Arabidopsis thaliana: one gene and its partners. The protein of the gene in region 1 interacts with the protein of each later gene in a pairwise test. Each region holds a gene or a part of one and is shown on either strand. Other genes may lie near its edges.

Evidence for each region.
Region 2: the proteins of UMAMIT3 (region 1) and AT2G30020 interact in a protein complementation assay, tested with the Arabidopsis thaliana proteins (one large-scale study listed by BioGRID).
Region 3: the proteins of UMAMIT3 (region 1) and AT4G21910 interact in a protein complementation assay, tested with the Arabidopsis thaliana proteins (one large-scale study listed by BioGRID).
Region 4: the proteins of UMAMIT3 (region 1) and AT5G51160 interact in a protein complementation assay, tested with the Arabidopsis thaliana proteins (one large-scale study listed by BioGRID).

What each region holds. Positions count from the first base shown.
Region 1 is NC_003074.8:16,863,798-16,870,455, forward strand, and holds UMAMIT3 (nodulin MtN21 /EamA-like transporter family protein), read left to right. Parts: upstream 1-3,235; 5' UTR 3,236-3,448; coding exon 3,449-3,702; exon of another isoform or gene 3,703-3,779; coding exon 3,780-3,896; coding exon of another isoform or gene 3,897-3,981; coding exon 3,982-4,255; intron 4,256-4,349; coding exon 4,350-4,505; coding exon of another isoform or gene 4,506-4,544; exon of another isoform or gene 4,545-4,584; coding exon 4,585-4,736; coding exon of another isoform or gene 4,737-4,764; intron 4,765-4,836; coding exon 4,837-5,041; 3' UTR 5,042-5,129; downstream 5,130-6,658. Other genes in the region: CRK4 (cysteine-rich RLK (RECEPTOR-like protein kinase) 4), read right to left, coding at 27-183, 260-497, 588-798, 972-1,093, 1,176-1,310, 1,401-2,244; AT3G45880 (2-oxoglutarate (2OG) and Fe(II)-dependent oxygenase superfamily protein), read right to left, coding at 6,058-6,069, 6,332-6,462, 6,569-6,639.
Region 2 is NC_003071.7:12,811,185-12,818,138, forward strand, and holds AT2G30020 (Protein phosphatase 2C family protein), read left to right. Parts: upstream 1-3,086; 5' UTR 3,087-3,252; coding exon 3,253-3,756; intron 3,757-4,033; coding exon 4,034-4,720; 3' UTR 4,721-5,176; downstream 5,177-6,954. UniProt on the Arabidopsis thaliana protein: Protein phosphatase that negatively regulates defense respones. Inactivates MPK4 and MPK6 MAP kinases involved in stress and defense signaling.
Region 3 is NC_003075.7:11,623,960-11,634,360, reverse strand, and holds AT4G21910 (MATE efflux family protein), read left to right. Parts: upstream 1-3,105; 5' UTR 3,106-3,396; coding exon of another isoform or gene 3,397-3,723; 5' UTR 3,724-5,107; coding exon 5,108-5,440; intron 5,441-6,812; coding exon 6,813-7,444; intron 7,445-7,591; coding exon 7,592-7,648; intron 7,649-7,741; coding exon 7,742-7,980; intron 7,981-8,075; coding exon 8,076-8,194; intron 8,195-8,285; coding exon 8,286-8,372; intron 8,373-8,477; coding exon 8,478-8,539; coding exon of another isoform or gene 8,540-8,540; exon of another isoform or gene 8,541-8,618; coding exon 8,619-8,619; 3' UTR 8,620-9,052; downstream 9,053-10,401.
Region 4 is NC_003076.8:20,788,211-20,795,201, forward strand, and holds AT5G51160 (Ankyrin repeat family protein), read left to right. Parts: upstream 1-3,862; 5' UTR 3,863-4,069; coding exon 4,070-4,573; intron 4,574-4,646; coding exon 4,647-5,471; 3' UTR 5,472-5,631; downstream 5,632-6,991. Other genes in the region: AT5G51150 (Mitochondrial import inner membrane translocase subunit Tim17/Tim22/Tim23 family protein), read left to right, coding at 824-1,165, 1,338-1,477, 1,617-1,716, 1,810-1,908, 2,066-2,413, 2,524-2,616, 2,721-2,927, 3,019-3,285; AT5G51170 (U6 snRNA phosphodiesterase-like protein), read right to left, coding at 5,696-5,893, 6,007-6,072, 6,170-6,266, 6,345-6,591, 6,775-6,867, 6,964-6,991.

The DNA of each region.
Region 1 (6,658 bases):
TAAAAAATGGCTCTATATATACTCACATATGTAACCAAATTGCCAGCACTAGTACCATCCATTTGATAGACATTGCTGTTCTTTTTCCCACTTATAATTTCGAGAACCAAGACCCCGAAGCTATACACATCTGATTTCATGGAGAATTGGCCATACATCGCATACTCGGGAGACATATAGCCACTGTGACAAAACTCAAAGCTTAAGTTGATAGAAGCATGCATGTTATGTGCCTTAAGGAAATATACGGAAAACTTACTATGTTCCAACTATTCTCCTAGTATTGGCTTCCGTTTGGTCCATTCCGAAAATTCTCGCCATTCCAAAGTCGGCGATTTTTGCATTCATATCATCACCAAGGAGGATATTACCTGCTTTGAGATCACGATGTATGATTGTGAGTCGTGAATCTTGATGAAGATAAAGAATCCCTCTAGCAATTCCTCCAATGATTTTGTACCGTCTAGTCCAGTCCAGCAGGCTTTGCATGGTAGAGTCTGCGCATATGAATTTACAATGTTAGAAACAATGAATGGTATACAATTTGTAAAAAATTTATCTTAGGCTAAATATTGAACATAACTGACCAAAAATGAAGTAGTCGAGACTTTTGTTGGGAACAAACTCATAGACAAGTATCCTCTCATCTCTTTCCAAACAAAACCCTAGCAATCTTACCAAATTTCTATGTTGAAGCTTTGCCACAACAATAACTTCGTTTGCGAACTCTCTTTCACCTTGTCCTGATGTCTTGGATAACCTCTTCACTGCAACTTGTACTCCACTAGGAAATATACCCTACAAAAATAATCATGAAAATGAAACTTTGTTTTTGTTTAACACATATTCGTTTTTATTTATTAAGTGTTGTTTTTTTTTTTATCAAATATATATTTTGAAAGCAAACTCAATTATTTCTCCTTTGTGGCCTTCTAAAAGTTAGGACCAGTTTTGGACAATGGTAATAATACCTTGTAAACTTCGCCGAAACCACCTTGACCAAGTTTGTTAGTCTCACAAAACTTATTTGTTGCTGCCTCAATTGCTTTAAAATCAAACTGAAGTGAGCCCGCAGTGGTAATATCATCACTTTCTGTAAAACATAGAGAACATTCTTCGTGAAGAAAGAAAATAAAAAGGAGATAGTTTATCATTTGGTGTCTTAATATGTATACCTTCGGTAAGTGGTTCCCTCTCATAATTCGTCCTTGTTTTCTTAGCCCGGAGACTAAAGAAAGCTACGAACAGAAGCAGGAGAGCAATGATTGGAACAACAACAACGATGATTACAGAGGAGTTCCGGCCTTTTCCTGTATTCCATCAGATTACATGTATGAACCACTTTTTTAAAACAAATCTTGAGTGTCTCAAAAGAAACGTTGCAGTTATGTCCATCATACCACGTTCTGAAATCAGCGGTGGGGGAGCTAACTTCAGCTGCTGTTGAGGAGTAGAGCGAGGCGGAAGAGACGGTGGTGATGATGATCTAGTGGCGGTTTCATTGTAGAACGAGTAATTCTCGTACCTTGAATTACAACTAGGGTAAAAAAATCTTCCTCCAATTCTGTAAAGAGACATTCCCTTGATGGATTTTTGTAGGCAACGTAAACAGTCTTGTCTTGTAAGATCAGGTGTGCACTGAACTAACAAGTACAAAGGCTGGGGTGTGATGACCTTTCTCGTATAAAATTTTTTAGAACTATTCGCTGCTTCAACGGCAGCTAGGTTCAACGTGGACGACACCAAATCCCTAAACTCATCTACTTGATTTTGATTACTTGATGAAATATTAGCGCCGTTCAACAAGATAGCACTTCCATCGTATGTAACGGTCGAGAGAATATTTCGGTGAGAGTATCTAAGCATACACTCATCGTAATAAAGCACGACTTCTTTGTTATACGGACACCAATATAAAGTCTCCTTGACGGAAAAGGCGACGCAGTTACGGCAAACTTCTTGTGAGACGTCTCCGCGACAAAGGAAAAGTCCGGTGACACGGTCGGGAGCTTGTCCCGCCGTGGCAGTTTGGAATCCGGTAGAGTATGAAGCGTTCCGGGAAGAGAGAGAGGACAAAAGTGTTTTGAGATTGGTGAAGTAAGTGCTGTTTCTTGAATACGTTAATATACTACTTGGACAAGAATGGTTTAGGTGAATAAAATTTTGAACTGGAGCTGAAAGAGGAGATAAGGAATCGGCAAATGAAAGATGAAGGAGAAAAGGAAAAAGCCAGAAGAAAGACATGCTTGAGTTTCTTCGATTTGCATGTGTCTAAGATCATGAAGCACACATGCATTAAATAAATTTATTTTTCTTGACTACTGTACATTAACGTGAAGTACAGGTTGGTTCGAAGTTTTTTTTTTTCCTTTTTAATAACAAAAATATCCTAGGCAAAAGATGATGATGCACATTAGAAACAAACAAAAGGAACGGGTTGGCGATCAGAAATTGCCAAGTAATTCATACCAAGTAGTAACAGAAAGAATCATCGTCATTGATAGGATAAACACTCTCAAAGACAATGACGAAAGAGAAGACAAAATACAAAGACTCATTTGCTACTTCACAATTTTTATCTTTTTGGTATTTTCTTGTAACCAAATCTCCGTTCGTTTGAAATCGTATTTCGACTTGTCATACTGAAATTAAAAAAAAAAAGACAAAATTGATACGTGACATATACACATGGTGGTCAAAAATGAGTATGAGAAAATTGATACGTGACATAACACATGGTGGTCAAAAAAGAGTATGAGAAATGAGACTTTATATATCGATGAAACCAAATCCAATGCATGCAGAGATATCTAAACACATACAATCAAAAGTTAAAGATGTCCAACACATCAATGTCTGTAGAAGACAGTACAACAAAAAAAGCGTTTTGAATCGCTTATTTTTTATATTTGCATATTGATGCAAATGAGTTTTACATCACTTATATAAGTGACTTTAGAATTGGTGAGTGAAAAAAATTATTTACATCGTTTCAAATAATTATTTACATCGATTATAATATTAGAAACATGATGCTTAACTCTTAACATAAATTACGCCAAGACCAATTTGAACCATCTGAAAATTAATTATAGCATTCTATATTTATGTATTCGTTCCTCGAATTTATGTATCTTTACTTTTATAAAATTTTACCATACTATAATTAATTTTTAGATTCTATATATATTTATAAATGAAAATTTAAGGAAATTAGTGATAATGGAATGGCGGGTAAATAGGATCAATCCCAATGCATGCTTGTGTCCGAAGCATGATGTCATCATTTGTTAGTTCCCCTGTCTCGTTCGATCAAAAAACACGTTTTGACAGAAGAGATTCAAAGTGACAATCAGTTTCAAGATTTAATTCTCTTACCCACTCTCTCACCCTGGCTTTCATAACTTTCTCCGGGAATAAGAATCGCCGGAAAAGAAGAAAACCGCCAATGGAGAGTACGGTGGAAAGAGAGGCGTGGAAAGCTCACGTGGCGATGATCGGTGTGCAATTGTTCAACGGAGGATATCATGTCATTACCAAAGTGGCTCTCAACGTTGGTGTAAACCAACTTGTCTTCTGTGTCTTTCGTGATCTCATTGCTCTCTCCATTCTTGCTCCTCTTGCTTATATCCGTGATAAGAGAACAAGACCTCCTTTGAATCGACAGTTTCTCTTAGCTTTCTTCTTCCTTGGTTTAACAGGGTAATTCAAGTTTTCTTCTACCAGTTTCTGTTATCTTCATGATTGCAATCATCACAGTGATGTTTTGGTGTGATTAGGATATTTGGTAATCAGCTTTTGTTCCTCATTGGTCTGAATTACACCAATCCAACTTATGCTGCAGCCATTCAGCCGTCGATCCCGGTTTTTACTTTCATCTTGGCTCTCATTATGGGGTAAAGACTCGATCCAGTCTTTCTCTTTTACTTTCTCTCTGACTCTTCCAAACCTAGAACAATCCATTTTCGTGTGTTGCTGCAGAACAGAGAGACTGAATTTATTCAAGCTAGAAGGTCAAGCTAAGGTAGGAGGCACACTGATTTGTGTCGCTGGGGCGGTGCTGATGGTTTTGTTTCGTGGACTGGCTTTGTTTGGGGAAACAGAGGCTGAGTCCTTGGGTCATGGTGAATCAAGACACACTGAAACATCTGGACACTTCATGTCTGGCTTTTTTAATGGACTTGGGCGATGGAATTTGGGAGTTTTGTGTTTGATTGGGAATTGCACTTGCATGGCTGCTTTTCTTGCTATTCAGGCATGTCATTTTCTTCTAGATGATCCACACACTTTCAGTTTCAGATATCTTCTTGTCTTTGGACTGACCTTGCATTTGAAACATATATGATCAGGCTCCGGTCTTAAAGAAGTATCCGGCGAATCTTTCAGTCACAGCATACTCGTATTTCTTTGGGACCATGTTTATGGTGACATCTGCTTTTTTCATGACTAATGAGTCGACGAACTGGAGTCTCACAAGATCCGAGTTCTTTGCAGTTGTCTACGCAGTATGTTCTTCACACACCATATGTTTGTTGATCCATTAAATTTCTCCAATTGAGTAACTCTGTTGCTTCCTCTATGCAGGGAGTAATCGCGTCTGCTCTCAACTATGGTCTCTTGACATGGTCAAATAAGATCTTGGGTCCTTCCTTGGTTGCTCTCTATAATCCTCTTCAACCCGCAGCCTCAGCTTTCTTGTCCAGAATCTTCCTTGGAAGCCCTATCTACTTGGGGAGGTTTAATATCTCTCTCCTTTTCTCTTAGCTATTCTCAGCCATCAACGGGATGTGTCTGAAGTTTCCTAACTAACTAGGCTTTTTTCTCCTCCTCTCTTAGCATTTTAGGCGGATGTGCAATCATAGCAGGTCTTTATAGTGTCACCTGGGCATCTTACAAAGAAAAGAAAGCGGCAGCAGCAATGGCTGTGATCCCGATCACCTCAAAGGAAGCTGAACCCTTGATCTACAAGGACCATAAAAACAAACCAATAGGACATCTATTCACAAAATCTCCCATCTCTTCACCAAAATCCGATGATTGAACAAAAACTCTGGCTTCTTGAATTACTTGGGTGCTCCGATGTTTTCTTAACCTTTTGCCGACGAGAGAGTGACTATTTTATTTTCTAACAGTATATATATGCATATAAACATCAATGTTTAACAGAGTCTCATTATCAGGTTTGATGTCCTCAATGCGAAAACCATTCTGCATAATACTCGAAACCATAGCCTCCAACAGTTAAAACTGTCTGACCCTCCATAGCTCTGAACACCTTCTCTGCATTTATCACCAACCTATACTTCCTGTACATATCAATCAGCCCACTTTGTATCAAACCATTTGATTCAAACCCGAGCTTTATGGAATTCACATGCACTCGCTTCCAAAATCTAGCCCCATCACTAACATAAGTGGAAGAAAGATACAAATTTGTGGCAGAGGGAGTGAACTTGCTTCCCTGATGTTAAATCTGAAATCAAGGCACATGCTTTTAGAACACATCACATTATGTTGTTCAACATAGCAACAAGGAGAGAAGTGGCATTTTGGTAACCATCCATTGCAATACAGGCTATACAGCTGATGATAACAATTGCAGAGCAACGAAAATCTCTGTAGGGCATTTATTCCATATGTGGCGGGCGAGGTCCAGGCGCCAACATGATACACACATCAAAAAGACGGTTGAGAAACTGCAAGGTTGGTCTTACCCCAGATTTCAAAATGTGAACTTGCAGCTCTATAAGCCCCACCAGCGATCACGAGTCAGTTGATTTCTGAGCCAGAGAAGAGTACAGCTCTTCGGTTCCAGACGGAGAAAGACAATCCAGTAACCCAAGAATGTCGGAAGTCAAGCAACAAGGAGTTCGATCCTCTGGATGGCGTTAATAACGGCAGGTTATGTATGGGATTCATGACAAGAAGTTGACCATGGACCCAGTTCCAGAGTTTTTATCTGAATTACTCTGGAGATTTTAATTAAAGAACATATTGAACCAAACACAGCCACAAGAGCTTTTATATAGATGATGGCTTCAGAGTTCCACCATTAAATCAGGGAGCAATCTGAGACAAAAATGAAGTCATCAACAAAAGAGATACAATTCAGAGAATTTCAGAGCTTTTCTATCATTTTATGGTTCTTTATAATTCTGGGAGACAAAACTTAAGTTATAGTGGAGAAAGCACCAATGGACATGACAAGTAATAAAATTAAGATCTTCTTAGTCTAAATATTACATAATGTAAATTTAAGATCTTCTCCGAGCTTTCTACCATGACTGAGAAAACCTGAACTCAGCAAAAATGTTGTTTCATCTCTTCATACCTCTGCATCACTGGATTCTGAATCTTCGTCTTCTCTCCAAGAAAGAACTGGATTGAGTGAAGATGACTTGTATAATAAAGATTGCAAGAAGTTAAAATAAGCATACTTGATGTCAAACTGCATGTCATACCCTGCAAATTAGATGCATACATAGCTTATTAGAGGCAAGGAGAGCCGAAAAATACTGGCTTGCCACTGAAGACAAACAGATGATGGAAGCAAAACTAAAACTCTTACAATAGTTCACTGCAATGGTATAACCTCCATCTCCTGGGGTTTGACTAACATGGTGAAACCACATGCTTGGCCTGCAAAATTCAGAACCAT
Region 2 (6,954 bases), on another chromosome or scaffold:
GTGACTTAGTCTTCTGTTGAACATAAACAGCATTAAATCATAACTAATAATCATTACTATGACTGATTGACTGATAATTGTAATGATTTTCTAATTGTAAGTTATTTATGATTGCAATTTCTAAAGTATATTGCCTAACCCACGGAAATGCCATCACATGTCGAAAGTAATAGTTTTATTTTGGTCTCGCTTGTTTCTAACGGAGTTTATGTATATAGAGATATATATATGCCTATGATTATTCTCTACAAAAATGAAAATCACATTTCAATACTTTTTTAAAAATGTATTCTTAAAGAGAAGACGCAAAAAGTATTTAAGTGTACAGTGAACAAATAAGATTTTGTTTTAGTGGTGAAAGAGAAAAATTACACTATATTTCTAAATTAGTTTTTTTTCTTTCTTTTCGGTTTTTGAGGTCATTTAATCAGATAATTCGAAAATATTTAAATAACTTATGTACTAGGATAAAAAGCAAACATTTTTTTTTGGTATGAATTAGTAGTAGAGAATATTACGTGATTAGACACTTTTTTAAAAGTTTGTTCCTAATTAGGCACTTTAAATGGAGAAGTCACTTTAGATAAATTATTTTACTTATTTACCCTTTAACTACATTTTTTCCATCGGTCATTTCTTCTCTCTCCTTTTCCCATCTCTTCTCTATTTTTTTTTTTTCTCACTTTATCGAAGAAAAAAACATTTCCCAGAATATCTTCAATTCCAAATCTGCAATTAATCTCCAAATCCACTCTACGCGATGGCTTTCTTTTTTCTCTGGACTAATTAGAGAATATGAGGTCTTGGTTTCTTTAAGATTGTAATTTATTTTGCAATTTAAATATTTGTTTTGATATAAATTTGAGATTCAATTATCTAAGAAACATCTTCTTCTTCAACAATGGCGGCTTGATTTGATTTTTGCTCTCTCTCATGTGTCAAACTCGTTTCATCTATGTAGCATCGAGATTCCGGTTAATCGAATTTCCTGTTATTATGGACATGATATACAAAATGGATATAGAACAGTAAAAAGGTTTCCGAATGGATATATTTAAATGGACTCGTTATTATGGACACCAAACCATTGTTTGTTGATTTTTCTTTCGGTTTGCAGAGACCTCTACCTTCAAAACCTTATGGACATGGAACTTTGGTTTCTTTACAAAACACGGTTAATCGAATCTCCTGTTATTATTGACATGGTATATAGAATGAATATAGATAAGTAGAAAGGTTTTTGAATGGATATATTTAAATGGATTCGTTATTATGGACACCAAAACATTGTTTGTTGATTTTTCTTTCAGTTTGAAGAGACCTCCACTTCCAAGACCTTATGGACATGGAACTTTGGTTTCTTTACAAACCACGGTTAATCGAATCTCCTGTTATATGGACATGGTATATAGAATGAATATGAATCAGTAAAAGGTTTTCTGAATGGATATATTTAAATGGACTCGTTATTATGGACACCAAAAAATTGTTTGTTGATTTTTCTTACAATTTGCAGAGACCCCACCTCCAATACCTTATGGACATAGAACTTTTACCAAATTCCTGAGATAATCGAGATCAAATTGTTTAAGAAACTTCTCCAAAAGTTATGGAGACGTGGAGAGAGAGAGAGAGAGGCGCTACAAATCATGGAGAGAGAGAGAGAGAGATTTTATTTATTTTGGGTAAGGATCGTGGAAGAGGAATAACAAAAAAGAGAAATTAAGAATTAAAAACATAAATATTGAATTGAGGGTAAAAAAGTCTTTAAAAAAAAAGAATTAATAGAAAAAGTGTCTATTTCCTATAAACTGCCTCAAACGGAAAAACATTCTCTAAAAGTGCTTAATAGTGGAACATTAATCGCATGACAATATAATAAGACGTAAAATTTTTGGTCTTATCATATGCAAATACTTATTAATAAGGAAATTTTGGTCTTATAATATTGCAAAAACTGATTTTTCTTTGTTTACTATTCATCCCTATCACAATTCACAACATTAACAAAAACTTTCTAATGGATTTTTCTTCAACTCTAGAACATTGCAATTCCTTTTCAACTCTAGAATATCAAATACCGTTTAAAAGACAAAACTATCAGTTAATGATGTCACAAATTACTCAAAAAATTAACACTCTCTTAATAAGAAGAAGACTTGTATTTTAATAATAAGAAGACCTCGTGTGAAACGAGATCAATTACAACTTTATGTATTAGACTTTTTGACAAATTCACAACGGTCATCAAATGGAAACAAACAAAACGAAGGCTCCTCTTCAGGCTCTCAACGGTCACTTGCTTAGAAGCTGCGACTACGACAAGCAAAAATACTCATCCAATGAAAACGACGACGTATAGAACCTAACGGTCGTTTTAAATTCTTTAAGATTCTATTTTTCATTTAATTTAAAAAGGAGAAGAAAAAAAAAGTGAGTCATCAATGAAACACTTCTTTAACACAGATACGTTACCCACATGCCCAATTATTAGCATTCGTTTCCTTTTAGACGTGTTTTTGACTTCATTTGAAATGTCTGTTTTAACCTCACAGAGCAAACCCAATAAATCGCTTACTTCATCGTTTTAGCTATTTTAGACTGTGAATGACCGTTTTACCCTCCAACATTCTCTTTTGTACTATCTGCTGTGTTTTATTGAATTTTATTCTACGTTACAAAGGGCCTTTCTTCTTATTTGCAATACTCCTCTTTTTGTTTATGATAGTTCTAGTCTACTAGACATAATTTGTTTTTATTATTAAATTGACATAAAGTTACCAAAAATTGAATGATTCTTATTTTGGTTATGAAAAAATATTGGAATAAAAAATCTCATGGATATATACATTTTTCATTATTAAGAAAAAATGATATTTTCCTTTATTTTGCCAACAAAAAAAAACTGGTCAACAAGAGTAGGATTCAAGCTAATTTTGTTTTCCTCAAAATAATATCCATTTTGTAGAAAGTAAAAGGACAACATAAATAAAGGAAATGAAAGTTGTAAGGGCATAAATGTTATTTACAAAGTCAAAGAGACTGAAAAACTTTGAATAAAGCTCGATAAACACGGACTCTAATTCATTCAATATTCATTACCTTCTTCTTTCCTTTATATTTAAAAACCTTCTTCTTCTCTCTCTGTACATCGTCACAACAAAAAAAAAACAGAAGGAGAAGAAACAAAAACAATAATCTCAGCAAAAACAAATCTCTACTCATCGAAATCGAAATCAAAATATAGAAACGATGTCTTGCTCCGTCGCCGTATGTAATTCTCCGGTGTTTTCACCGTCGTCTTCTCTATTCTGCAACAAATCTTCGATTCTCTCGTCACCGCAAGAATCTCTTTCTCTAACGCTTTCTCATCGCAAACCTCAGACCTCTTCTCCTTCCTCTCCATCCACCACCGTTTCTTCTCCTAAATCTCCATTTCGTCTCCGTTTCCAGAAACCTCCGTCCGGATTCGCTCCTGGTCCATTATCTTTTGGATCTGAATCTGTTTCTGCATCCTCTCCTCCGGGAGGTGTTTTAAAGAGGAAACGACCTACAAGGCTTGATATACCGATTGGTGTTGCTGGATTTGTAGCTCCGATTTCTTCATCGGCCGCTGTGGCTGCGACGCCGAGAGAGGAGTGTAGAGAGGTTGAGAGAGAAGGTGATGGTTATTCTGTTTATTGTAAGAGAGGAAGAAGAGAAGCTATGGAGGATCGTTTCTCTGCTATCACCAATCTTCATGGAGATCGTAAACAGGTAATTTTAAATTTCAAATTCATTTTTCAGTTTTGGTTTAGAATTGAATTGAATTGGTGATTTTGATTCGATTGATTAGCAATTACAGCTCAAATTAGGGTTTATCATGTGAGATCTACATTGATTGGGTTAATAAGCTATCTAAAATTAGGGTTCTTTGGGGAAAATTGAAATTCTGAATAGAATTAGAAGTTTTACAGAATCATATGAAACAATTGTGTGCTTATTGATGAATCGTGTATTCTAAACGTTGTTTTGCTTTGTGATAATTTCTCAGGCGATTTTCGGAGTCTATGATGGTCATGGAGGAGTTAAAGCGGCTGAGTTTGCAGCTAAGAACTTAGATAAGAACATTGTAGAAGAAGTAGTTGGTAAGAGAGACGAGTCTGAGATAGCTGAAGCGGTGAAACATGGTTACTTGGCAACAGACGCGTCGTTTCTTAAGGAGGAAGACGTTAAGGGTGGTTCATGCTGTGTCACGGCTCTGGTTAACGAAGGGAACCTTGTTGTGTCTAACGCCGGTGACTGTCGTGCTGTTATGAGTGTAGGAGGTGTAGCTAAGGCTTTATCTTCTGATCACCGCCCGTCTAGAGACGATGAACGGAAAAGAATTGAAACCACGGGAGGATATGTTGATACGTTTCACGGTGTTTGGAGAATCCAGGGATCTTTAGCTGTGTCAAGAGGAATTGGAGATGCTCAACTTAAGAAATGGGTTATAGCTGAACCAGAGACAAAGATTTCGAGAATCGAGCATGACCATGAGTTTTTGATCTTGGCATCTGATGGTTTATGGGATAAAGTGAGTAACCAAGAAGCAGTAGACATTGCTCGTCCTCTCTGCTTAGGAACCGAGAAGCCATTGTTGTTAGCTGCCTGTAAGAAGCTTGTCGATTTATCTGCTTCACGAGGCTCGTCTGATGATATCAGTGTGATGTTGATCCCTTTACGCCAGTTCATATAGAAAAGAGAGGCATCTTAGAAGATTTTAGATATATGATAAACGTTAGAAATTTGGAGGTTTTATATGATTTAGTTCTTTTGTTTAACTTGATCCATTCATTTATTTATTCTTTCTAACTTAGTGAACAAAGCTAAACTCATTGTGGCTTATGATTACTTGTATGATTCGAGCATTGGCCGAAATTAATCTAATAATCGGTTCGTTATATATCTTGTCATATGTTTCAAGATCCTGCAAATTTCTCTACAGTACAATACCAACACAGTGCTTGGAAGAGATTGACTCAATCTGAATCAAAGATTCCTTGTTTTGATGAATTTCAATTCACAACTCCAACATACATGAAGTTCATATTGAGATGCAACGTGAAAGAAATCGACATGACAAGTGATCCTGGTCAAAGAGTCACACGGCCAATATTGTTTTAAAGTGGAACGAAGGTACAAGAGAAGTTGATCGAGAAAACAAGTTCAACCATAAAGAGAGTTTTCTTAGGAAAAAGGAGAAAAACAAACAAAGTCCTCAAGTTTGACAGGCTAACATAAACCATTGGGCCGGACACAAACCCGAATAGCCCAAAATATATTATTTGTTCACATGTGTAGTTTAATTAGTTTTGGTCTTGGATCTCAAATTCTCAATCTGTTTTCATGCAAACGTAAGATATGTTTTTATTTTGTCTACTAGTTAAAATCTCGTTAAATCTATTCATTTTCGTGTTTTTCACATTCAGTCTGGTTAGACATTGAGACCAATACAAACCACTTAGAATTTTGGCTGTGGTTGACATATATATCCTAACAATGTTGTTAATTGTGACAATGTTGACATGGATTAAGAACCATAATTTTCGATGAATTACATATTAACAAGAGTGAAATGATGTGCAAATTAAATTGAACATATACATTTTATGTACATATAAGAAACAAGCAAAAACAAATATGTGCGGTGATAATGATTACCGACATGGATAAGCCGATAAAAGGATAAGAAAAATAAAACAAAAGATTGAGTTTGTGAAAAGAGGAAGAAGACAATGGTCAAAGAAAGAACGTAAAAACAACACGTGAATTACAAACACATGTTTTTGTGTTGTAGGCGGAGAACACGTTGTTGTTTTTTGTCTTCCAATGGACCCCAAAAACGGCACGTTGTTCGGCTTTTTCTCTTTTGTTCTTGTTTTTGTTTCTCCAACTCTAATTTCTTTTCTTCTCGTATTTAACTTTACCAAACCAAATCTCCGGAAAATTAGCATTTCAGTCCCACACACATCATGTGTTCTACCGATTCAGTGTAACTAAACTTAATGTAACATAAGTTGTGTTAGTTCACTTAATTTAGCTTCCATCTATCAGTTTCATTTATTTCACTGTTTTTTTTTTCAAAAACAAATTTATGAATGAAAGCCTAACAAATAACACCATGACCTACATGATCCACATTGAGTTAATCCCTACAACCTAACTTTACCTGTATCTTTTCATATTTTAATTGTGAAAATCATGATTTTTAACTCTATTTTCATCTCATTACAAGTCAATGTCTATTTTATGTTATTTTACAAGTCAATTTCTATTTTATCTTTTGGGCAGTTTTTTTTTCCAAGAGGAATAAAGCTTGAAAAGAAGTAGTTGAATTAGACTTGTTAACAAACCCATAATAATTAACTAAATAAACAAAGAAAATATCAATAATACTATAAACCACACTCGCATGCAATTAAATATTCACGATGTAATTAAGACAGAGTTCGTCCACTACAACTGGCCATTGGTTGGCATTTACTATTCTTTCAAAGTTAGAATCGGTGTTTTGCGTGTGGTCCCTCGTTTTTTTTATTTAATACACTATAGTTTTTTTTTTTTTTTTGTCAAAATAAGAATCTATAGTTAAAGCCATTTACTTTGTTTGTAGCAATTTGTTTCGCGATGTAATTCGTAAATTAATGTTAGACACACAAAAAAATAGTCCATGAAATGGAAGCGAATCGTAGATACGTGCAAACAATTCACTCGCATTATTTGATTCGAAGCATTGGCCTTATCATTATGTCTTCAGCTCTAATCGACGATTTGAAAATTTAGTGCAAGAAGAAAATATAACCGATAATATAAAGCACCACATGTATTTGACTTTAATTGCTTAAACTATGGTATTCAAGTTAGATTGTTGTAATGATATATGCGGAAGAACCTTGGATCGAAATTTTGACACCTCTCATTTTGTTACTC
Region 3 (10,401 bases), on another chromosome or scaffold:
ATTTAATAAGGATGATGACATAAAAGCGTTCATTTACGTCAATATGTGTCTGCCCCATTATTCATAGCCGAAATCTTTCTCAGCCGATAAGCTAACGGTTAAATAAAAGACACAATTAAAAGAATAAGAAACTAAATTAATTTTTAAGAAAACAAAAACTCAATTTCTCGAAACCATGTTTAGAGTTAGACAGGGTTCAAAATTTGTGTCAGGTTTTTCTTTATTAGTTTCTTCTGAGAGATTCTTCCGAAAGGATTTTAGATGTTATTTTGTGTTGGTTAGTGATGATCTGAGAGTAGAAAATAACTCGCTGCTACTCAGTGCTCACTTCTTATCGCTGGTCACAAAGTGGGCCTGCGTAAGAGGCCTGTTCTTATCTTACGTTCACAAATTATGTCTACTTATTTTAAGTAAGTCCACTATTATAATGTTTACTATACTAAATTTAAATATCTTAATTACCGCTTATCCAACGACCAACATCAACAATTTTAAATTTAAGTTATGATGTCAAAACTTGACCTACTTATGAGCTGAGAAATATTGATTAATAATCTTCTTTTTGTTTTCTTCACGTCCACTAGACTCTATTTTATTCCTAACCGTGGGAGAGCTCGGTCGAGTCAATGAGCTGCTAAGTCTAGGTGGGAGAGCTCGGTTAGCTTTTAGGTCTTTGTTTGCTTTATTCAAAATTGTACAAAGGTTAAACCGTACGATTTCTGTATGGAGTGAGAACAATTAAATAATTAATGGTTAAGTTTCTATGTATCTGTATCTGTAAGGAGACTCAGAAAGCTCTTGAGCTTGAACATCGGAGACAAAGAGAATACTAAATTGTTCTTGTACGGTTCCCAATCCGATAAAATTGTAGACATCACATAGGTCCAATATTTAGGATAAAAGACAAAGATTTGAGACATCTTAGTGTACTCATCCATATTTTTGGATCACTAACTAATTACTCCAGAAATAATTAGTGATCCAAAATACCACATAATTTATTTATTTTTAGTTGTAAGAAAGTTGATTTAAATTTAGTAAACATATCGAAACGTTGATTAATTTTACAATTTTCTAGATTTCAGTGTTATGCATAAATCATTGAATGGTACGGACCCAATAAGGTTGGTGTAGGTAAGATTTCACTTACAAGTTGAGTTTGTGATTTCATAACGCTTTTGTTTGTTTGTGTAATTCAGCTGTAGATTAGATGAAGAACTTAAAATAAATAGACAAGACCACTTTAGCAAACAAAAAAATAAAAATAAATAGACAAGTCCATGCCTATTTTCGTGGTGCAAACGTCGCTCGCAAGTAGACAATTGTTGGGTCACTATCATATCATTGATATCAAGCAAATATTACTTACGATCATTTATTCATCTCATCGCTTTTGCATATCTATTTATGTGCAATATTAGACATTTACATATGTTCGGTACTTCGGTATTTTAGACGGAATAACGGAACCAGAGGAAACTACCGAGAGTTTGAGTAAGTAATAAAGGCTAAAAAAGGGTATAGAAAATGTACATGTACTTTGACTACGAATATAAGAAAAATGATATAGTGATTAGTTTTTAACTTTCAATACTCTTTGTCTTTTTCTATTTGAATTTAGCAATAAACTAAAGAAGAAACTGTTTAGAATGATATAAAATTGGAGACTTTTGCTTGAGTTGTCTAATTTTTAAGATAATCTCATATTACCCATATGTTATTATTAAGCTTAAATGCTTAATTATATAAAAATGTTAATTTTTAGCAAAATTTTTATTTTTTACAAAATAAAAAGCTCGTCTTGTTCTTATTATTATTTTTCTCTAGCTTCTCCAAATCCTATTTATTTATTTTTCTATTTTTTATATTTGGCGACCGTAACTCTAATTAATATTTTTGTAACTCATTTTTATGTGACATAAACATTTCAACATCGGTTATATCCACTTTTTAATGCTCCTAAAAGTATATTTAGGTTAAACTTTGAGTTTGAATCGTTTGTTTACGGTTTCAGATTTTGGGTTCATTCATGAATTTAATTCCAAAATTTGGTGACTTCTTTGTTGCAGCCATTCTAGAGACTTTTTTTTGTTTTGTTTTTTATTTGGTGCAAAACCATTCTAAAGACGCATGTGATGTTTTTAGCCAAATGGCATACATCGGTTATAATTGACATGTCGATATACTATAAAGTATCCACTCATATCTTTTGTTTAATTTTTTTAGTTCTTTCCATAGTTTCTGTAATATTTCGCGATCATAGCTATAAAATTTTAATCAAATAAAATCTTATAATTTGATCATCTCATTTATTTTTATAAAGTATATGATGCTGTATGGGGCGCAGTCACTGAATCTCAAATCTTTTACGTATAAATCATTACTGTTTTATTGATAAAGTAAGCTCAGTCTTTCGCACGACATCAAGATTTTATACGATATAGAGTTTTTGGTACCACGATCGCAACGTATAATAAGATAGTACTGTAACTAACAGTCACGTGATGGAATTTGAAATTAGTTAAACTCTAACCAATTAACTATACGTACATTTTACACGTGGTAAAACAAAACTAAAGCAAGAAGATTCAATTGTTTCTTTTCTTCACGCTTGTGACACTTTATAACCCAATAGTCCTTGTCTTTATAGTTTGATTACTTTTGTCCGTTAGTGTTCACCTTAATTATGGCGTTTGTAAATTTGCGGAGATGGAAAAGAGTGAAGTATCTAATCTTGACCTACATGAAAATCATCAATCCACTATAATAAAATCCTCTAGACCACACTTAATTAGTCAAAATCTAAGTTTAATAAGTGACATAGTTATGTTTAAACTAATAAATATTAATATATTTGTCAATTAATGTCTATATATCAAGAAAATATTATGGTCCTAAATATTAATTTATAGATTTTGTATTGAATATATATTTAATAGTATTTCTTTATTAGAATCATTTCAGTTATGTTCTATGCAATGTGTCTAAATATTATATTTTATTGCCTCTATTACCTATATAGATTTTATTTATATAAATATATAGTAATTCACAATCGTGTTTTACTTAATCCCTGGATCCCACCCGCAGTTTCGTGTGGCCCTCTTCAGTCTTCACTCATCAGACCGAAAGAAGGAAAAAAAAAGAGAGTTAAAAAGCATAAAACCCATTTTCCAATAAGAGTTTTCTTTTTCTCTTCTTCTTACGTGTACGATCCCAATCTAACAACACAAAAAGGGTTCAGTTTTCTTATCTCCATTTTGATCATGTCAAAAACCCCACATGTCCACCCATAATTCCTCCTCAGTCTTTTTATAAACAAACCATTTTCTTGCTTTTGCTCGCAAAACTTTAACCTTAAAAACCAAACCAAAAAAAACAAACTAAATTAAACTTATGGATGTGTCAAATGAGACAGTGGAAAGAACCGATCTCCGGACACCTTTAGTAGATCCGGCAGACACGGAGGTGAAACCTCTACCAGAGGTCGGGCTCGAGAGCGTATTAACGGAGAGTAGCTTGTCATACCGGAGGCGTGTGTACTTAGGAGCCTGTATAGAGTTGAAAGTACTTTTCCGGTTGGCACTACCGGCGATACTTATCTATTTAGTCAACTCCGGAATGGGTATATCCGCTCGTGTCTTCGCCGGTCATGTTGGTAGTCAAGAACTTGCGGCCGCGTCCATCGGAAATAGCTGCTTCAATCTCGTCTATGGACTTATGGTATGATTTACGTTACCGTACCCATATGAATATGATATGAGGAGACATGTTGGTATTATATATGAAGATTTATACTAATTATTATTTTCATTTGTTATAAGCGTTATCGTATATTTAGTGAAGTAAATGGTGGAGTAAATTATAAGCATTATAATTTAGTTGGAAATTAAGGATTAAAGATTTTGATTTTCTCGTTTTGTGTGTTGACATAACATATAAAAGTACTCATATATTATTAACCTAACCTAAATGGCTAAAAGCTTAGCAAACCACGTTTATTTTGCTAAGGATAACAGCCTGTAAACGATGCTGTATTTTTCTATCTTATATTCCTATATCCTAATTTGTTCTTACAATTTAATGATTACATACCATTTATTCGGTTCTTTTGTCTTATGAATCTTTACCATTTTCCTTCAATTTTTTAATTTTTATTTTGGGGTCAACTACTAGGCACGATTTTAATTTTAATTTTCCTACTAGGCACGATTTCTTCAGGCGTTGAATTTACTCGTATTGATATATAAACTATTACCGCCATGGTAACTATGAATGAAGTTAACTACTCGATATTCTTAGGGATAGAAACTTACGTAATGCAACTAATTGCATTAACACACGATCACGATAAGAGTTTTTACTAGACGAAATCACTATGGTGAGTTTTTGTGTGAAAAAGTTCAACTTTTGGATTTTGTAAGAGAATAATCTTTCACTTCCTTAGAATTCCGTGAAACGATTCCTTTTTCTTGTCAGCTAGTATAACTTAACGATTAATTGTAACTGTCGTTTTGCTTAATAAATGATATAATTGCATTTTTTGTCGACCAAAATAAATAATTTTTTGTAGTATCGTTTGTTTTGCAAGTCATTCTTTTGAATATTATTGTATGCTTATGATGAGTAGTCAATTAAATATTTATGATTTTCTCTTTGGATTATAGTGTAAAACTGAGCTTTCTAATTTTTGCCCATGTGAGCAATTTGTTTGTTTACCTAATATTAGGACTTTCTACTGTTTTCTCTTACTTTATACTAGAATTTGTAAAGATCTTCTACGTTAGATTTGTTTTCTTTTGTGTGCAACACGTTCTATTGTTTAATATGAATAATCTACAATATGTACTTTTTTCTTGGATCATCATATCGTTCTTTGTTTTATTGTTCATTTAAGAAAGGAAAAAAGATATAAAAAAATAGATACCCATTTTCAATAAAACTTTTTCTTTTTTAATTATGTGTACAATCTCTATTTATAACACACTAAAGAGCTTCATTTTGATTATCTCAAAAAAAACCACACAGATCCTTAAATCTCCAAATTTCCTCCTCAGTCTTATCATTATAGACAAAACCCTTTTCTTTGTAAATTTTTTCCCAATCTATGGAAGTGCCTAGTGAAACCACGAATTTAGCCGATCTCCGGCGACCATTGGTGGTTCCGGTTGTCTCGGAGCGTAAACCTCCGGCAGACGTCGGACTCGGACTAGAGAGTGTTTTAACGGAGCGTAGCCTTCCGTACCGGAGGCGCGTGTACTTAGGGGCATGCATAGAGATGAAGCTACTTTTCCGGTTGGCACTTCCGGCGATACTTGTCTATTTAGTCAACAGCGGAATGGGTATTTCCGCTCGGATCTTCGCCGGACATCTCGGTAAAAATGAGCTCGCCGCCGCGTCCATCGGAAACAGCTGCTTCAGTCTCGTCTATGGCCTCATGGTACGTTTTAATGTCAACGAGTTATCAGACGCGGTGATATTATTAAATATTATTTCTTGATTTTTGCATTCAGTATTTAATGTGAAAGGTTCGTAGCACGATAACTAGTGGAGTCAAAAAAAAAAAAAAATTGCTTTAATGTGAAAGGTTCGTAGTAACAATAGTCCTTGTTTCGTGTGTTAACATTAACTTATTAGAGCTAATTAAGATGGTCACGATTATTTGCTTACGCACTACATACAGCTTGTACGATTTATTCTTTTGAAATTTTCTTCATTTCCCACCAAATATAGATATATAGTAAGTTTTAAAAATCCATTTATTAGTTTGATCATTTAATGACTCTGCAGCCTTTCTTCTTTTTAAATTGTCTTCAACCGGGGCCGGGGATCGAAACAATAATTTTCTTAAATAAGATTAAAATTTCCATCTTTAATATACTGGGGAGTATATTTTTGCAATGTAATATTTATTTATGCCTTAAATTTTGAATACTATTCTAACTAATGAAAACGATGTGGGATTTTTATTTTGTGGTTGATGGTTACGATTTGGTCATAGTAGTGAACAATTATTTGTTTAATATAAAATGCTAAGCTTGTTTTGACGAAACAGTTTCCAATTGCCTTATAGTATTATATCAAATGAAAAGAGAAAGTCAAATTACAATCGTTAATGTGTAAATCATATAGGTTTGAGAATGATTATAGCTTTTAATATATATATATATATAGATAATTAAAAGAAAATTTTGTATTGACATCTAAGGTGGCCAAAAACATTTAAAGAATGTAGTCAACTAGGTAGATTGTTTATAAAAAGTTAGATAAGTTCTTCCAAAAATTGGTTCTATCTTTGATAAATAATGCTTAAGTCTCGTATTTCTTAAAATTACCTCACTAATGTTCACATATCGAGTATCTAAAGTATCTAGTGGAAATTTTGTCCACATATAGAGCTTTTGAAGTAGGTTTAGCAGACTAATCATTCGTTGCATGCCAGTCAAATATGAAATATACACATGATAAGGATGGCACAATGATGTCTCTGCTTACTTTTTCCTCATGAAATGTGCTCATCGTGTCTTGTCAGTTGTCATTAGTTATTTATGCTCAACCACTCATGCATGTGTTTATAAACGTTAATGTGTTTATAATATTTTTTAATAGATTTGATTTAAGAGGAAAACTACTATTCAAAACATTTTATAGTTTCATTGATAAGTATAACTAGCCAATAAGTTATTCCCGTAATTTAGAGTATACAAACAAAGATATTGTTGATGTCCAACAAAACTGGTGCCCACATTATATTTTCAACAAAAAACTTTATATGTAACTACTTTTTTTGCTTTTTCATGTGTTTTTTGTAGTTAGGTATGGGCAGTGCAGTCGAAACACTATGTGGACAAGCCTATGGAGCCCATCGTTACGAGATGCTTGGGATCTATCTCCAAAGAGCAACAATAGTCCTCGCTCTAGTTGGCTTGCCCATGACATTACTATACACCTTCTCGTACCCTATTCTAATCCTACTAGGGGAACCCAAAACGGTGTCGTACATGGGATCCAAATACATCGCCGGGCTCATCCCTCAAATCTTCGCTTACGCCGTCAACTTCACGGCCCAAAAGTTCCTCCAGGCCCAAAGCGTGGTTGCCCCGAGCGCCTTCATCTCAGCCGCCGCCCTCATCCTCCAGATATTGTTGACGTGGATCACCGTTTATGTAATGGACATGGGCTTTATGGGCATAGCTTATGTTCTTACAATTTCTTGGTGGGTCATTGTTGGATCCCAGTGTTTTTACATTGCGGTTAGTCCCAAGTTTAGACACACGTGGACTGGTCTTAGCTGGAGATCGCTCCAAGGTCTTTGGAGCTTCTTTAAACTCTCTGCTGGCTCAGCTGTTATGATTTGTCTGGAAATGTGGTATTCGCAGATTCTTGTTCTTCTTGCTGGTTTGCTCGAAAATCCTGCTCGCTCTCTAGATTCTCTTTCCATCTGGTAAGTCCATTAATTAGTTAGTAACTTGATTCTTGATTCTATATCATTTTCTTAATCACTTATACTTTTTTTTTTTGGTTTTAATGTGAAGGAATCACTTATACTTCTCTTTTATCTAACTATTTTTTTCTTGTTATTTTTGTGCAGTATGTCAATTTCAGCATTATCATTCATGGTCTCTGTCGGCTTTAATGCTGCTGTAAGGTTAGTATTTGTTTCTCAATCAATTTCAGATTATCATCCAAACATTGCTCAGGTTAAATCATAATTTTCTATACAATTACTATGCATGGACAGTGTACGGACAAGTAATGAGCTTGGAGCAGGAAATCCGAAATCAGCATGGTTCTCTACATGGACGGCGACTTTTGTATCCTTCGTGATCTCCGTGACGGAAGCCCTCGCCGTGATTTGGTTTCGTGATTACGTTAGCTACATTTTCACGGAGGATGCTGACGTGGCTAAAGCCGTCTCTGACCTCTGTCCTTTTCTTGCCATCACCATCATTCTCAACGGAATTCAACCTGTCTTGTCCGGTATAAGTTCATTTAGATTTAAACTAGAAAACTTAACTGGTGCACCTTAACCGAACATGACCAAATAAATCTCGGTTTGGTGTTGTTGTTTGTAGGAGTGGCAGTGGGATGTGGATGGCAAACATACGTGGCATATGTGAATGTTGGTTGTTACTACGTTGTTGGTATTCCGGTTGGGTGTATTCTCGGCTTCACTTTCGATTTTCAAGCCAAGGTTCGCTTTCAAATATATTATGTATAGTATTAGTATATGCTTTGTTACTATCAGTTTAATAAAAATAATTTTACGTGAATTTTGGTTATAGGGAATATGGACCGGGATGATTGGAGGTACCCTCATGCAAACACTCATTTTACTTTACGTCACGTACCGAACAGATTGGGATAAAGAGGTAATGTTACATGAAATTAAGTTATATCATAGTGTAAGCTGAATTTGATTCAAAGAGTTTGTCCAAATTATTAAGGTTTATTATTATTGTATAATAATGATACAGGTGGAAAAAGCGAGGAAACGTTTGGATCTGTGGGACGACAAGAAGGAGCCTCTCCAAAACTAGTAATGGATTTTACAGAATAAAAGTATATTTTTAAAAATAATTAACATTAAACTTTACAATCTGATATTTAATATTCAGGTTATAACAAGTTTGGTGGAGTGATAGACAATAAAGAAAAGGAAATAAGTGTCGTGTGTGCAGGTGATTTCAATGTACGTAGCTTTTCATGGTTATTATGCTTGTTCTATGGAAATAGAACAATTAAAATATATTTTTGTCTGATGGATTATTCTTTATTTACGAAAAGTTGTTCTTAAATTGATGTTTCTTTCCTTTCTCAGAATGATTTATTATGTCTTCACTCTATAGACAGTTATTAATTATTTATTATGGAATTTTGATGTAATTGGGTGTAGTAAGTAAAGTAGCACATCAATGTGACATAGCTATCCAGTTTTCTTTTACTGATACATTGTAATTTAATGGATGTTTATTTGTCGAAATGCCATTATTCAAATTAAAGTCGTTTAATGCATATTATTGACATATAAGAATAAAAGCTTCTCTACTCGAAAATTAGAAACAATGCACAGTATTGTAACGAGAATCGTGGATCGCAGTTTCCTGTCATACCTAAAATCCAAACACGAGTTACATGGGCATCTCTTGACAAATTGTGAGGGCCACGCTATTAATAACTATAGTGACGGGTCAGTAATCTAACCAATGATACATGATTCAAACAAATATAAATGTATAGTTAATAGGTAAATTTCTTAAGCAAACAAAAATAAAATTAGTCAAACGGGGAAAGTGACAAAAAAATATTACGTAAAATTTAAATCGATACATTGTCTTCAGTCTTCACCAATATAATTAACAAATGTCACTAGATTGTTTTTTAAAGATTTATTAGCAAAATATTGAATATATTACTCGACATATTAATTATTATATGCTATAAATATGGAATGAAATAGATTTGTTGATTTTTGAAGACCGAAAAAGAAGCTAAAAGGAAATTTTTGATTAACGATGCAATTCATCTTTCAAAATCATCTTTTCATTAAGTCATTGAGCTGATAAAGTCTGTTGGGCACAGCCATATATAAATTACGCGGGTAAACGGATTATATAGTAATCGACACTTAAAAAACAAACACAAAAGTTGATTTTGTTGACCGACTTTTTCTGTCTCTTGGCCTAAATTGGCGTCCAGGTTTTAAAACATATAAGACATAGCCTATATTTTGTCAAAAATAAATAAAAATAAGACAGCTATATACGTACGTTTTTTTCTCTTTTTTTTCTGTCATCTGGAATTATATTAGAAAATTAAAACTTCAACACATGAAACCACCGATTACAAGGCTAGACTAAATCAAAGATGAAGCGAACAAGAGTTAGCTTACCACAAGGCCCAACTCCAACATATTCAAGAGTGGTCTATACAAAAAAGAATGAGCTCTGAAACATTGAGTACCTCACAAACCAAACCCCCCATGTACAAAAGTTGATCTCAAACACTGAGCATCAACACCAAAAAGACTTCTCACTAGCAAACAGAAGACAAACCTCTTTCTTCAACAAAAACACCATTCAACCAAGAAAGATGCCCCCACAGCTACATATATAGGATTGAGACCGAGACGCATCCGTAACACTTTGGGCGATGAGGTTTGCTCCTCTGTTTGCAGCAGTGTACACTGAGCATCAACACCGTACGTTTTGTTCTATGCAATTTTTTTTTTTTTTTGTATTAATATTAGGGTGTTTATTTTGCTTTAGATTAAAATATTCTTGCAAAGAAAATCTACATTATATTGTTTTATATAACAGCTTACAATATTTTATTTTGTCTCCGATCACACTCTAATTTTCTCGTTCCATTAGAAAAAGAAAATATCAAAGACCAAATCAA
Region 4 (6,991 bases), on another chromosome or scaffold:
ATGATCTATCCTTTCATCCATTCATTAGCTAGTGTAATTCTCAGAGTATTTCATGGCATCGTCATTTTTTTTATTTTATATTTTTTTGAGTTTTTTTATTGAATACATGTTTTGATTTGTTTTCTCGATTAGAAAATTATTTGGTCAGACGAGATGACCCGTTTCTTGTTAAAACTTTATCATATGTATAGAGGCAATCCGGAAAACCCACGAGTTCAACATTATTTACAGTTTATTACACTACTTGATGCAATTTTTGGTGATGTACCAAATGCATAAAGTACTAAGCTTTTTCTTACAAAATTTATTTATTTTTGAATTTAATGTTTTGTTTATGGTTTTAATTATTAAGCATGTTTAATTTTCTAATATTATCAATTTATCATAATAATATATTGTATTTTTTTTCTTTTAAAATTAATATATTATATTTATTTTGGTTATTTTTTATTTAATTACTATCGCACCCGCTGGTTTACCAGTCATAAAACTCCCGTAAACGCACCTATTATCAAACGCTCAACCAGTCGTTCAAAACGCTTGATAACGCTTGAAACCGCAACCGCCTGTTTCCGCAAACTCCCGCAACCGCAACCGCACCCGCACACTTTCTGCTTTATGGTAAAAAATAAATCTTTTGGATTATTTTCCAAAAAAGAAAATAAGAAACAAATCAAAAATCATAAAGAAATGACGTGTCATAGCATATCCCCATCGGCTTCTTCCTCACTGCTCCCAACATTTTTCTCTGATTGCATCATTTCATTTCCTTTAAGCAAACGAGCTTGAGAAGCTTTCCGATTTCAATTCCTTTTAATTGACGATGCCTTCTTCGTTCTCCAAGCCGGATTTAGATCCTTCTTCTTCGCCTCCACCGATTTCTCCTTTATCTCAAGACAGCTCGGAGGCTGAGCGCCGGCTTCGAGAAGCGGAGGAGAGGCTACGCGATGCCATGGCGGAGCTTCAGCGTAGACAACGCTCTGCGGCGCGTGGATCTCACGCGGAATTGTGTGATCACGCTGACGTTTCTTGCGTCGCCAATGCCATTGGGAATTTATGTCAGAGCTTTCTTCTCTCTTATGGTGTTAGAGTTGGGATCGGGATTCTTCTTCGCGCTTTTAAGCTCGCTAGGGGACAGTCTTATTCGTCTCTTCTCGATCTTAAGGTGAGGAATTGATGAATTGGAATTTGTTTTTGTGGCAATTTCTGGAGATTTAGAGTCTTACGAGTCTCTGCTTTAGTGTTCCATTTGATACGGTTGTTTTGAAACTATGGCCAATGTGTTATTGACTTATCATTGTATATGCGATTCACTCACACGTGAACAATGGTTGCAGCAACTTGTTTCAGAGAAAGATTTGATAGTTAGGGAGGAAGCATGTCGTATTGGTCTACTTTTTGGTGGCTTTACTGGCTCGTATCATGCCCTTAGATGCTGTTTGAGGAAGTGGAGAAAGAAAGAGACGCCATTGAATTCGTAAGTTTATTTTATTTATTTGTGTTGCCTAAGATTTCGATTGTTGTATCTCTTTTCTTATAATGCTTCTACTTTTTACTTTGTGCATAGTGCTTGAAAAGTATATTCCTTATTATGACTTTGATTAAGGGTGGAGCAGAGTCTTAGCAGGTTCAGTTGCGGGTTTGTCTATCTTGGCTTTAGATGATTCCAACCAGCGTCGCACACTTGCTCTATACCTCTTGGCTAGATTAGGCCAGGTACATCTAATGGTCATAGTATTGTCTGTCGTACAGAGTAATATCACCACACAGATGTTTTTTTCGGAGTCTGATTTTTTCTCTTATTAATAGGCGGCTTATAATTCCGCTAAGTCAAAGAACAAGTTCCATCTTTGGGGTAGCCATTGGAGACATGGAGATTCGTTACTTTTTTCTCTTGCATGTGCTCAGGTATTTGAGATTCTTCTCTTTTCTTCCTGTTCTAGTTAGTAATGGAGATAGTATAGACGTTGAAAGACATTTTTGTGTACCATACGTATTCTCTCCAATGTGATTTGGTAGTGATTATGGTCAGCAAGCTAATTTTGTTGCAATGAGGTCGGTGCAGGTTATGTATTCCTTTATAATGCGTCCTGAAACCTTGCCAAAATCATATAGAGAATTTATTCAGAAGACTGGTCCAGTTGCAAGGCCTGTCTACCAAGCTGTAAGAGAGTGCTGCAGAGGTGGTCCAATTGATGTAGCCTCCTTGTCAGCCTATATTTCTAGTAAAAACGAAGCAAGCGACGTGAAGGTGGAAGAGTTTGCTTCCATCATTCCCTGTGCAGCTATTCATCCAAACACTAACTCGTGTCTGGCCCAAAATGCTAATGCAATGTCAGCTACATTCAAGAAAACATTTCCATTATATTTCTCCCTGACTTTTGTCCCATATGTTGTTCTACACCTACAAAAAGTAAGACTGTCCCTCAATATTTGCCGTTTCAGTCTTTTAGATTCCTATGGTTTATGCATTAGTCAGACATGATATGTAGTTTCTGATGCCATCCTACACTTTCATTTCAGTTCATGGCTTCTCCTTACCGGACATCTTGGCTTGCAATCAGAGATTCAGTTAGATCGACGTCCTTCTTGTCTGCTTTTGTTGGGATTTTTCAGGTAGCTGGTTTTTACATTTGATTTGTGTCCCCTCATTTCATACAATTCACATAGTTTCCTAAAACCATTCCCAAATGTATGTGCCTTCATCCCATTTGCATTAGGCTTTCATATGTGCCCATAGAAAAGTTGCAACCAAAGACCACAAGCTCGTTTATTGGTTTGCGGGTGGTGCAGCAGCCCTCTCAGTTATGCTGGAGAAGAAACCGAGACGCTCTGAGCTTGCTCTATATGTTCTTCCCCGAGCAGGAGATTCTCTGTGGGAGATACTTGTTAATCGCCACCTTCTTCCCGACATTAAAAATGCTGAGGTACAATACAATTACAAACCACTTTTGTTATTTCCAACTTTCTTCCCCTTTGAGCAATGGAACTGATGTTTTATACAATTAATGGAAACAGGTGGCTTTATTCTGTGGATGCATGGGAGGAATAATGTACTACCTCGAATATGAACCTGATACAATGGCTCCGTTTCTGAGGGGACTCATCCGTCGGTTTCTTGCTAGCCAAATAAGCAATCCTAGCAGCAAATACCCTCATAGTTCGTCCTATTCTTATCTCCAGACCCTAGATGCATTGAAGAAACCGAAAACGCAGGAGAGCCGAGAAGGCGAAACTCCGAAAGCCGAAGAAAAGTATAACTTGGAAGCAATTCCCGGTCTTTAGAAGTATAAGCAGAAGCTGTCTGATACTATATTAGCACCTGACGTTGAAATTGAGCAAACCAAAAAGGACCCTTTACGGAATCATGATTTTGATTGTGTTTCAGGAAGTTAATGTGAAACTTTCCAGAAAGAAAGGGTTCCTCCACACAGAAAACTTAAGAGATTGAAGTGATTCATAGGATTTAGGAGCCTGTTTTTTATTTTCTTTCACGTAATAACAACAACTCCACTGTCTCTTCTTTATTTCAATGAGAAGTAGCAGAATGAAGAAGATTTATGGCAAGCGAGTCAAGCTGTCTTGATTTGTTAACACCAACACAGTGTTGAAACTTGAAACAGATCACTAGATATATTCCTTTTTGTCTTGTTATAATCTTGATCTATTGCTTAAAAACTCACTTCAAGAAAAACACAGTTTTGTTTAGTTTCCTAATGCAAGTTCTCTCAACCGATGGAAAAAAAGTCAATTCGTCTAAGATTTGACTCTCATACCCAAAAACTATTGTATTACTCAAATTGTTGAAATTTCATCTGTATTGGTCGGAGCGGATATGAATTTGCACATACGATGATCTCAGGGTCAGAAAATCAAAAGATAAAGTAATGCAAACAACTGACACTTGTAAGCATTTGTTCCACTTTAAGGAATACTTCATATGCTACAAAGTCAAATGTCAAAGGGAGTTTTGTAATAGAAAATTTCAAACAAGCGTCGTGATGGTACACACCTTCATTGTATATTCAACTCGATCTTCTCTCTCTCTTTCTTCTGCATCATCACCAAAATGGATGCTTTTGAGACTCATTTACCGAAGGAGATCGTCTCTGATCCTCTCTATAACTCCTTCAACCCAAGGAGTGAAGAGTATGTCGTCGCCGGAAAGATTCTCAGGCAGCGGTCAGTCTTTGACTTGGACAAAAACGGGTTTAGCCCTCTTCATGCAGCTGCGGCAGCCGGACAAGTAGAGACTGTGAGGGCAACTTTGGGGGTTGAAAAGAAGCTTTGCCGCTTAAAAGATAGAGATGGAAAGACTCCTCTACATGTGGCAACGATGAGAGGGAAAATCGATGTGATCAGAGAGATTGTAGCGAGCTGTGTTGATTGTTTAGAAGACGAGACCGTACAAGGTCAAACTGCTTTGCATCTTGCTGTTCTGCACCTAGAGATCGAAGCAGTCATAGCCATTGTTGAGTTGATCACAGAGACAAATCGATTTGATGTGTTGAATAAGAAAGATGAACAGGGTAACACTGCTCTTCATCTTGCAACCTGGAGAAAAAATCGCCAGGTACGACGAATTAAGTTGCGGTTAAATAGTTTTCTTCCAGTGGAATCAAACTCTGTTTTTCTTTTGCCTACAGGTGATTGAAGTGTTGGTTCAGGCAATACCAGAAGAATCAAGGTCATTTGAGGTGAATGCTATGAACAAGATGGGTCTATCAGCGATGGATTTGCTGGTTATGTTTCCGAGCGAAGCTGGCGATAGAGAAATCTATGAGAAACTCATCGAAGCTGGAGCTCAGAGAGGGCGAGACATTGGCACTACTAATGTCGAGAGAACCACTTCTACTTCCACATGCCAAGAGAGAACAATGAAGTCCCAAAGCCATAAAGAACTTGTCAAGTACTTCACTTTCAAAAAGCACAGAGACTCACCATCAGAAGCACGTAGCGCATTACTAGTGGTGGCTTCACTAGTCGCCACAGCCACGTTTCAGGCCAGCTTGACCCCACCAGGTGGAACCTGGCAAGATAGCTCAATACCTGCTGTATCCCAGAACACAACGAATGTGAATACTACAAATCAACAAGCTCATACAGCAGGGCAATCTATCATGGGGACCTTCAATGGAGTTGCTTTCACTTTGTTTGTGTTCTTCAACACAATTGGGTTTTCGGTTTCACTGTCTATGCTCAACATTCTCACCCTCGGGTTCCCATTGCGGTTCCAGCTTCAGATCTGTATGATTGCTATGTATTTCTCGCACAACACAACCATGGCCAGCATTGCACCTGATCATGTCAAGCTTTACTGCATTCTCATCACATCCATCCTCGCTGCTACCACCCCGGGTTTGATGAGGTTGCTCGAGAACCCTATTGGTATGCTCGCTCACTTCTTGGACTCCAGGTCACAAAAAATTTGCTCCATGATTTCACTTTCATGTAAACGTTTTGTAACATAATAGTAGCCAGTTCAATATCTACCTTATTTCAAATCACAAGGACTTGTTGTTGCATTGTCCAGAAATCACCAATGTTATTACGAGTGATATTATGATATATGGAGACTTTTTTCTATGAAGAGACATATATTATGGAATACCCAAGAACACAGATCAACTCATCCTTCTATGTCGTTACAAATGCATACCTGATTGGTCTGCAAACACAGAAATTTGAGATTTTCTTATTCATCTGGGAGTTTACATATTTTGTGTGTTTTGTTTCCTATCTTACACTCGATCCCACAAAACTTAGAGGTGAAGATACGATTCTGCACACAACCACCTGCTCTAAGCTTCCTAAGTTCCACGTCAACAGCTCCCTTTAGGGAAGTTCTAATATCACCCAACGCCCAGACCAAGGATATATGCGGCCGCGGATCCTAAAAGAAAAATTGAAGCAGACTCGATGGGATAAGTGTCCATGACGATTTTCATTGGCTAAACAGTAAAATACAATCAAGCTGTAAAGTACTATATAGAAAAGCAAGTGGACCTTGTAGAACTCCGGCAGATTGTGGAGCTTGTAAACTTCATTAACAGCATCAATTTGCTTACTTATCTGAATTAAGGATATGATAATCAGTACAATATCTAACACAAGGTACTGAGTATGCAAAAATCCAACATTCAAGGTTAACTCTTGTTGTACAACATACCTCGGATAGTCCTGAAGTAGTGATTTCCAAAGAAAGGAAAGAGCGAGTATGGTCATCATTCACAAAGACTTCCCACTTATTGAAATCTATCAAGTATCTGTCAAAAACAGAACGGAAAACAATTCACAAACCCCATCGTAATTTGGGTAGTATGGTAGGCAAGAAATGATCTTACCTCTTCTGCAACTGAAGCTTTTGCCGAAGCATAGAAATCACCGAGTTAATCTGATGAACACGTAGTGGAACGTTTCTTCCTAAGCTTATGTGGAACTCTCTCCCCAAGGCACGCTCAAACTTCTGATCATCCTTGCATAGAATGCTGAGTGGCACATCAGCCTCTACCAAATGAAGATGAGGAACAACTGATGCAACCTTCTTTAAAAAACATACAATCTCCTTCTTTGGCAGTGGAGGTATACAAACTAGAATCCCAAAAACAAAATAAACAATGAGTGAAAGAGAAAGACAAGTGATACACTTCATCAGGCCTGCACTTCATCAATACATTCTCAAACACATACGTATCCTCTTATACTAAACAACCACTTCAGAATTCAAAAACCTCGAAACTCTCAGAAATTTTAAGCTACGAAATGAACAAATACCAGGTACGTAAACGTGCAAAGCGTAATTTCCATCGACATGAGGAAAGTTTCTTACACGAACTCCAGGCTCTGTTGAGAAGAAATCCAGTGAACCTTCAAGTTCAGACGAAATAAAAAATAAGTGATGAGTGAAATCTCTAAGAATTTGATTGAGGAACAATCACAGAGACAATTGATGAGCATCTTCACCTGTGGATACAATGGAATCGAGAAGCGC